2 linked regions of the Callithrix jacchus genome follow. The protein of the gene in region 2 purifies or fractionates together with the protein of the main gene of each other region. This does not show direct contact. Links are inferred from orthologs where the notes say so. Each region holds a gene or a part of one and is shown on either strand. Other genes may lie near its edges.

What was found. The genes of interacting proteins can lie anywhere in the genome.
Region 1: the proteins of SOD1 (region 2) and TKT purify together in Homo sapiens (affinity purification with mass spectrometry; 3 studies listed by BioGRID, with this or other methods). This does not show direct contact. The link is inferred for Callithrix jacchus from reciprocal best matches to the Homo sapiens genes SOD1 and TKT.

The regions. Positions count from the first base shown.
Region 1 is NC_133516.1:35,778,871-35,783,408, reverse strand, and holds part of TKT (transketolase), read left to right. Parts: intron 1-2,709; coding exon 2,710-2,901; intron 2,902-4,538. UniProt on the Homo sapiens protein: Catalyzes the transfer of a two-carbon ketol group from a ketose donor to an aldose acceptor, via a covalent intermediate with the cofactor thiamine pyrophosphate.
Region 2 is NC_133522.1:37,804,085-37,809,075, reverse strand, and holds the start of SOD1 (superoxide dismutase [Cu-Zn]), read right to left. Parts: upstream 3,200-4,991; 5' UTR 3,117-3,199; coding exon 3,045-3,116; intron 1-3,044. UniProt on the Homo sapiens protein: Destroys radicals which are normally produced within the cells and which are toxic to biological systems.

The DNA.
Region 1 (4,538 bases), on a different chromosome or scaffold from region 2:
TGCGCGCGTGTAATATATATATATATAAAAGCAAATTTTACACTTTAAACCAAAAGCCTTCTATCATGAGCATTTTCTCATGACATTAACTGTGGAGAGCTGATTTTTGGTTTTTTTTTCTTTTCTTTCTTTTTTTTTGAGATGCAGTCTTGCTCTGTTGCCCAGGCTGGAGTGCAGTGATGCAATCTCGGCTCACCGCATCCTCCACCTCCTGGGTTCAAGCAATTCTCCTGCCTCAGCCTCCTGAGTAGCTGGGATTACAGGCATGCACCACCACACCTGGCTAATTTTTATATATTTAGTAGACGGGGTTTCACCATGATGGCCAGGCTGGTCTCAAACTCCTGACATCAGGTGATCCATCTGCCTCAGCCTCCCACAGTGCTGTGATTACAGGCGTGAGCCACTGCACCCAGACTGAGAGCTGGTTTAATGATCATGTAAAGTTCTGTTTTATGGAGATGCTATAATCCATCTAGCCAGCCCTGCTGTTGGACATGTAAGGTAGTTTCCAAATCCTTCTGCAACAAATGTTGACCTTCTGCTTAGGGTTCCTTCTCTTCATGTTAGTTCATGTCTGATGTTTGCAGCCCCCTACCCCTAACTCTAACAGCTCAGGCAATACCAAGCCTCAGGGTTAGCCTAGGCTCCTGTAGGCCCCCTTTCCTGTCCACAACCCCTTCCTTGGATTTTCCTCGGGACCTCAGAGCCTCCTCTGACCTGAGTCTGTTGGCCCTGTAGGGCTTAGCCTTGTGCCTAGTCTCAAAGCCCAAAGCTGTGCTGGGCCTCCCATGCTAACCTCAGTTTGGCTTCCCTGGAATCCCTTTCTGGGAAGTCAAGTTCCCTATAGGCCTCTCCGGTTCAGCCCCATCATGTGGCCCCTTTCTGGAGCTGCTGTGCCAGACTGGAGCCCCTCCAGGGTCTTGGCCCCCTCAAAACCCATAAGGGAAAGAGGAGGCGAGGCTGGGACAGAATGGGGCCTCTGAGGTGTGGGCCTGAGGCTTTGTCCTTTTGGCCATGGAAGCAGAGGCCTGGCCTGGCCTGGTGGAGGCCACAGAAGAGTAGCTTGAGGCAGGGGAGGCTGCAGGGAGCGCTCCCAACCTGCTGGCATGTGGAAGTGCTGAGTCATGCTGACTGCTCCGGGGGCTGGCTGGCCCTGCCTTGGCCCTGCAGCAGCAGACAGGCCTGGAGGCTTGAACTGCTGAGCCTGCAGCCAGGTTGAGGGCCTTTTACTGCAGGAGCAGGAGGGCAGCTGTGTCCCCTCTGAGCCCAACCAGGCACCAGCCTCATTTCCTGGGGCCACACAGCTAGACACTGGGCAGGGTAAGGGGAGGTGCCCAGGTCCCGCCACTCCTCACCCTATGTGCATGCCTACGCTGAAAGGAGCAGACATTCTGGCTGCAGTCGGGCCTGCGTTTGCATCCTGGCTCAGCAACTTCCTGACAGCGCGACCTTCAGACAAGTCCTGTGTCTGTTGATGTCATCCCTCTACCACCCCCATCCCCTCACGTCTCCCAGGCTGGGCTCAGAGTCCCTGAACTGGTCTCCCTTCCTCTAGCCTCACCCCCTCGCCCATCCCTCCCCTGGGGCTAGGGAATGTTCTGTGGTTCTGTTTGCTGGTAATTTATCCCAAGTTCAATGCTTTTTTTTTTTTTTGAGACAGGATCTTGTTCTGTCACCCAGACTGGAGTGCAGTGGCACGATCTCAGCTCACTGCAACCTCTGCCTCCTGGGTTCAAGTGATTATCCTGCCTCAGCCTCCCGAGTAGCTGGGATTACAGGCACCTGCCACCATGCCTGGCTGAATTTTTTTGTATTTTTAGTAGAGACGAGGTTTTACCATGTTGGCCAAGCTGATCTCAAACTCTTGACCTCAAGTGATCTGCCTGCTTCAGCCCCCAACATACTGGGAGTACAGGTGTGAGCAACCACATCCAGCCTGTGCTCTTTTTAACATGTCTCACTGTCTTGAAAAGATCACAGTTGCCTGTGTTGAGGGGAGAAGGCCCCTAGGGTAGAAAAAGGGCCAGGTCCAGCCTCAATCTTGGGGTCAAGGGCCCGCCATGCTCCATCCTCCGCCTGAGCCCTCTTGCTCCGTGGTGTTGCCTGGAGTGCCTCAGCCCTCCCTGGTCCAGCTCTCTCCTCCAAGCAGAAGCAGAGCTTGGTTCCCAAGGTTCCCTTTTTCCCATTGGACCACCCAGCTGTCCCAGGGCCTCCTCCAACCTCTGGTTCACAGTGGGGCCCGTCCCCTGCAGCAGGTGTCTCAAGCCCACCCACCCATTCTTGCTCACTTTCCTCTTGCTCCAGCAACCCCCATTTTTCTAGATCTTATCAGCCAGATCCCTGTTGTCCTCGACTTCTGTTTCTTAACAATCAGTACTTCTTTCTGAGCTCCTGACGGCTTTCTTGATGGCCATTTTCTCTTGGGGTGTGGCTGGGTGGGCTGCAGGGACCTGGTGACACTGTTGTGCTTTGAGTGTAAATACCGTCTGTTCTACATAGCCACACACGGCTGCTCCTTTACCCAGAGTACAGGCTCCTTGGAGGGGTGGGGGCTGGGTCCCGGACTGAGAGCTGGTTTAAGGATCATGCGATGTTCTGTTTTTATGAAGATGCTATAATCCATCTGCAGGCTCCTTGAAGGGGTGGTGCCAGGAGCCAGTTGGGTCCAGGTGAGAGGGACCAGGCTGACTCACTGTCTGTTCGCAGCTACCGAGTCTATTGCTTGCTGGGAGATGGGGAGCTGTCAGAGGGCTCTGTGTGGGAGGCCATGGCTTTCGCCAGCATCTACAAACTGGACAACCTCGTGGCCATTCTTGACATCAATCGCCTGGGCCAGAGCGACCCGGCCCCGCTGCAGCACCAGATGGATATCTACCAGAAGCGATGCGAGGCCTTTGGGTACGTATGAGGCTGTGGCCTAAGCATGGTCACAGTGTGGAGAGTGGTCTGTGATCGCAGCTCTGCAGGTGCAGGAGCTGAAACTGGGACCTTAAGCCCCATTTACAGGTCCCTTTCTTTAGCATTTGACTCACAATTTCAAACTCTAGGCATTTGGACCTAGCGGCTCAGGCCACCACCATGGATTTGTGGGCCAGGCCCAGTTTTAAGTGAGTTTCCTTGTTTTTGTGGTTGTGGCGTGGTGGTTCTCAGAGTTTCCACACATCATCTTACATAGGCTCACTTTATTCTTGAGGGAGGAGGTTTTTTTTTTTGGAGATGGAGTCTCGCTCCGTCACTCAGGCTGAAGTGCAGTGGCATGATCTTGGCTGACTGCAACCTCTGCCTTTAAGGTTCAAGCAATTCTACTGCTTCAGCCTCCTGAGTAGCTGGGATTACAGGTGTGCACCACCACACCCAGGTAATTTTTGTATTTTTAGTAGAGATGGTGTTTCACCATGTTGGCCAGGCTGGTCTCAAACTCCTGACCTCAAGTGATCTGCCTGACCTGGCCTCCTAAAGTGCTGGGATTATAGGCATGAGCCACCATGTGGCCGATGGAGGAAGGTTCTTAAGGGATGGGGGCTTGCTCAGTAAAGCTCAAGGACATATACCTATGGAGACATTTGAACTTCAGTTTGGGGGCTGCCTCCTGTGACCAGCCCCAGCCAGCCTGGGGAAGAGGAGCCAGGCCCCTGGTGAAATAGGAGAGAGGGTTTCCAGATGCCCGCCTTGGGCCTTGACTGATTACGAATTCAGGGTCAGGGGGCACAAAGTAGGGAGGTGGGTCTGCATGGGTGTCAGCCAGACGGGCCCACCTCAAAGCCTCCACTGTGGCCCCAAACAAGCTGCTCTGCAGAGGGACCCAGCATTGGCTGAGGCGGCTGGAGGGGAGGGAGCAGGGCAGGGGCTATGCAGGGCTTTGGGGCCTCAAGTCAGGCCTCCAGGGCTGCCTTTTGTAGATGAGCCCATGCCTGTGACTACACTAAATGACAAGATGCTTGGGGTTACCTTGCAGTAGCCTGTGTTCCCTGATGACTGACCTCAGAAAGGGACAGGAGGAAGGGGGGAAATCATCTCTGTTGGGCAGACGAGGAGACTGAGCCACAAGGTTCTCACCCCACAGGCATCCTCAAGGCCACATTGATCTGGGGACTCAGAGTAAAACCCCAGCAGCACCCCCAGGACCTGTGTCCATAACTTCATGGCTCAAGCCAGATTCCTGAAGTCCTGGCTCCACCACTAACTTGCTTCGTGGTGTGGGGCATGTTACTTACTCCACCTTCGGTGTCTCAGTTGATTTGTCTGTAAAATGGGGGGCAACTCAGCAACCAGGCACAGCATGATGAGGCTTCAACGGGCTAATATGGGTAGTGCTTGGCATGGCACCTGCAGAGGGAACATTCAGTTTGCGCGGTGCTATTTTTATTATGCCAGAAAGAGTCCCCAAAAGGACTCCTTTTCAAGAGAAAGGCTGCTCTGCCCAGCTCCTTCCTGTATATTTGACAACATGGTTCATTTCATAAAAGTTTCCAGCACCATATCCAGCATCTGTGGAGTGATCAGATGTGTTCCCTGAACAAAAATTGGGCCAAAAA
Region 2 (4,991 bases):
TGCCACCACACCCAGCTAATTTTTCACATTTTTAGTAAGCACGGGTTTCACCGAGTTAGCCAGGATGGTCTCAATCTCTCGTGATCCACCTGCCTTGGCCTCCCAAAGTGCTGGGATTACAGGCGTGAGCCACTGCACCCAGCCACGTATTCTTAATTCGCAGTCAGAAACTATCCTATTCCACTTCCCGTGGGAGAGGACTTATTCCAGTCTAACCAGAGATACTAGTGTTTTCTAAAATCTTTTCACGCACTGAAACCTAGATAACCTTTCCACTCTACCACGAAGATAAACAGGATCGCCATTCAAGTAATGGTGACAGGTAATGGTGCTCCGTGGCTATATACAGAAATCAAGAAAGTTACAACTAGATCTGACTAAAATAGACACAGTCATACAACACGTTAGTGTCTCTTGTTTTTAGCTTGGTTTGTTTTCAAATAGGCAGGGCCAACAATTAAGAAGCATTAGCCTTTAAGAGGTGACTTTCCACTGGAAAATACCACTGCTCAAACAAAGTCTTCTGGCAATTGCTGCCTTTTAAAATTGTTTTCTTTTTGAGAACAGATGCCATGACCCTTTTACAACCTTTAATTTTGAAAAGAACTCAACTGTTAAAAGTTGTCCCTCAAACACTCTATTAAGACCACAGAGCCAAAAAGAGCAGGTTCTTTCAAACCTCCATTTAACAGGTAATGCATTGGGAACACGTAAGCGGCTGTGCCTGGGTACAACCCTACAGGGACCAGGCTGTTAACTTAGGAGAATGACACAGGCCTGGGAAGTGAAAAAAATACACGAACTGCTCCAGCTGTGCTGCCCTTGGGCCAGTGAAGGCTCAGTATGAAGAGATCTCCAAAAACTCTCCAAGAGAAGCTAGGAGCGTTTTAATTAATAGGTGAAAAATTCTGATTTGCAAAAGCTGGCAACGAGTCCAAGATTTTAAACATAGAATGGGCCAAGCCAAGTAGTTTACAGCCAATTATCTCTGCATATCTGGAGAGCCGGAATGCTCCACTCTCCAAGCGTCTTTCTCAGGTACAACGGGCATCACCAAATGAAGCCTGGAGCTTAAGAGACGGAACTCTGCAAGCTGCTCAGGGAAGGGAGAAAATGACAGAAACCTGGGTTCACGCACGGATTCTCAATGGCCCAGGAGAGGGGATTCCTCAGAGGCTCTTAAAACTAGTACTGGTGAATTATGTGGGGAGAACTCAAGAGGGACACAACCAAGTGACAAATGAAACCTGCAAAATGAAGTCAAATGGCAAAGAACCTTTTCCAGAAAATCTGGAGGCCTATGAAAGAAAAAAGCTGGCCCGGCGCGGTGGCGCACGCCTGTAACTTCCACCACTTTGGAAGGCCGAGGCGGGTGGATCACGAGGTCAGGAGATGAAGACCATCCTGGCCAACATGGTGAACCCCCCACCCCGCCTCTAGTAAAACAAAAATTAGCTGGGCATGGTGGTGCACGCCTGTAGTTCCCAGTTACTGGACAGGCTGAGGCAGAAGAATCACTTGAACCAGGGAGGCGGAGGGTGCCGTGAGCAGAGATCGCGCTCCTGCACTCCAGCCTGGGCGACAGAGCGAGACTCTCTCAAAAAAAAAAAAAAAGCTAAACTTGTATCTCCCTCACATAAATTTCAGACACTTACACAGACTGTTCCTGTCCTCTCCTGTTTCTGTACATCCCTTTAAAGACGGAATCTCATTCATACGGTAAATATCCTCTCGATTTTTAAGCCGAGTACGAGACAATTTTCCACCAGTTGGTAAGTTCGCTAAGGTTCTGGGGACACTGTTATCACAACCGCCTTTCTGGCAACTCGTTTTGCAATTTTACTGATAACAGTTCTGAAAATATTTCTGTATATTTTATCCTACAAGATTCGTTGAGAAGTTTGTCTCTGACCATCTTAGCAACCTGCCTAATGGCAGAGCAATTTTAAAGCCACTTTACAGAGAAGTTGGCTTCAGAAATGCTCCGACTAGTTATTAAGTGCCAATTCGGTGTAATGGAAACTCCAATTCTTCTAATTTGCAAACCCTAAACCCCACCCACTGACCTCAAAGAACAGTTCTAAATCGTGGGTGCACATCGAAATCACCTTGGAAACTTCTAAAACCTGGCATTACTCACCCTGCACCAGGGCAGGTTTGGATGTAATTGGTCTGAGGCTGGGCTCTGGTGTCTGTATTTTTACCAAGATCTTCAAATGAGGTAACTGTGCACCCAAAATTAAGAATCACTGCCCTCGAAAATCCCCGAAAGGGTCAGTTAAATCTCTGGCTTTCGGAGCTTAGGAAGAGGAAAAGGACCTCTGTCCAAGGCTACCTTCTCTACCCTTGCAGCCCAACCATGACCTAGAACAGACCTAAAACAGTCAGCAAACTTTCTTGCAAAGTGCCATACGAAACGGTCTCTGCTGCGTATTTTTCTTTTCCAAAGTCTTTTAAAGATATAAAAAATATTCTTAGCCTTGGAGCTGTATACAAAAGAGGAGACTCCCTGACCTAGAGCGCTGAAGTCGGAAAATGGAGAAGGATGCGAACACCAGGGGTCCCCCCGCGCAGTCGCCACCCCCGGGACCCACAGAACGAGAACACTCGGCGTCCACGGGACCCACAGAACGAGAACACGGCCAGGCAAGCGAGGAGCACAGCGGCTCCAAGCACCACAACCGACCCAGCGGCGGGGGTCCACCGACCCCAGAGGGCAGCACGCCCGCGCCCGCCCCCGCCCCTCCCCGGCCGCGGCAATCCCTCCCCGCGCTCCCGCCACGCGCAGGCCCAGCCCCGCGGCGGCCTCAGTCCCACACCCCGCACCCGGGCCCGGGCCCGCCCGGTGACTCAGCATTTAGCGGACGCCGCACCGCCGTGGACGAAGGCACCGACCGAGCGGTACCGACCGGGGCCGGGGCCGGGGCCGGGCGCCGGACCAGGACAGCCCCGAGGCCTGGCTGACGGCCCGCTCCAAGTACAGATGCGTGGGCGGGCAAGCGGACGGGAGAGGTCTCGCCACGAGCCTCCGCCCCGGCCCTTGCCTTCTGCTCGAAATTGATGGTGCCCTGCACCGGGCCGTCGCCCTTCAACACGCACACCGCCTTCATCGCCATCACTCGCGAGGCCACGCCTGGATCCGGGTTCCAACGACTGCCAGAGAAACCACAGACGCTGCAGAAGAGAACGGCGCAAACCCAAGCGAGAGCGCCGCGGGCACTTTATAGGCCGGACCTACGTGCACCACCCACTCTGGCCCGGAGCCAATCGCCCTGCGCGCGCTCAGCCCGCCTTCTGCCGCAGCCTCGGGTCGTCAGTGGCCGGGAATGACCGGGGGCGGGGCCAAGGGGCCGCGTGCGCCGCAGACTTCCCCCGCCCCACAGCCCGGAAAGGTCCAGAAACCCGAAACGTGGAAAAAAACCACATCTTTCTCCAAACGGGCGCGTCGCCCGCCGAATGCAGGACGCGACATTGGCAAAATGAGGTACACATGGTACGCCTTGGCGATCTGAAGTCACTTTATCTAGAAATGTCATTAGTTATGACTGATTTTGGTCACAGCGTCTCATTTGTTACTCAGAAATTGGGACGTACCAAGATGGATGCTTTTGTAGTTTTCATTTTTTTGTCTTGGTTTTCAGTTTTCTGAAGGTGTAGGAAGTCGTTACACCTCAATCCCCGGCCTCCCCTTTTTTTCCCCTGCAATTTTTTTAGTCCTAGCACAGAGTTTATTTGGTTGGCAGAATTCCATACGCCTACATTTTTCCTCTGCAGGACCACAGCCCTACAGATAACCAAAACGGTAACTAGGTGGCTTCTACGCATCTCCTGCGTTTTTGTCTGGCTCCAAGGCCACAACACTCAAGGAGAAGGATAGAATGATGACATAATTTATGATCCCTCCATAAAACAGGATGATAAAGATGACTTATCTTTCAAGGGGAGTATTTCAAAAGCATATTATGAAATGAGAAAATAGTACAAACTACTTTTTCGGGGGGGGTAATTTTTTGTTTGTTTTTGAGACAAATTCTCGCTCTGTCGCCCAGTCTGAAGTGGAGTGGTACGATCAAGCTCACTGCAGCCTCGACCTCCTAGGTTCAAGCGAACCTATTGCATCAGCCTCCCAAGTACCTGGGACCACAGGCATGCAACACCACACCCGGCTAATTTTTGTATTTTGAGTAGAGACGGGGGTTTCACCATGTTGCCCAGGCTGGTTTCAACCTCCTGAGCTCAAGCCAGCCATTTGCTCTCTTCGGCCTTCCAAAGTGCTGGGGTTACAGATGTGAGCTACCACGTCCAGCCTAGCATTTAGTTTTGAGCATGGCAAAATACTGAGACTTAATTCAAGTCCAGTATGAACAACAGAAGCTACTCCAGCCTTGTTTGGAGTACACTATTATCTATGTATTTACTTACTTATTATTTATGTTATTTAGACCCTCAGACTCTAATGCATCCCCTATCAGAGAAACACAATTCACATTTTTTGATCATCCTCCAGAAAGTATACATAATTGTAGTTTTGCTTGTTGTATTTAGTAGTTTCCAGATAATTAGTATATTCTAGACGGTTACATAAACAGTTCAAACGCTTGCCAAATGGCCTTTGCCCAAGGCTGAAGTTTCTTTGGGTTCCAGGAAGTTCAGCAGATTTCAGTTCATTGTAAACTTGCCAAGGGAGCCACCCGTCGACACGAGAGCTGCTTTGGGACGGTGAATTACTCTTCTTTTGAGATGGTCTGATGATGCCAGCGTGGTGCCTTCCTACGACGATCCTTACACCTGAACAAGGAAGTCCCATACTTTAAAGGGCCCTGTTCTGTCCCTCTTCCAGCATCAACTCCCATGGAGAAAAGAATGTGTTGAGGCCATATGTGGTGGCTCACGCCTGTAATTCCAGCACTTTCGGAGGCCAAGACAGGAAGATCACAAGGTCAGGAGTTTGAGACCAGCCTGGCCAGCATGGTGAAACCCCATCTCTACTA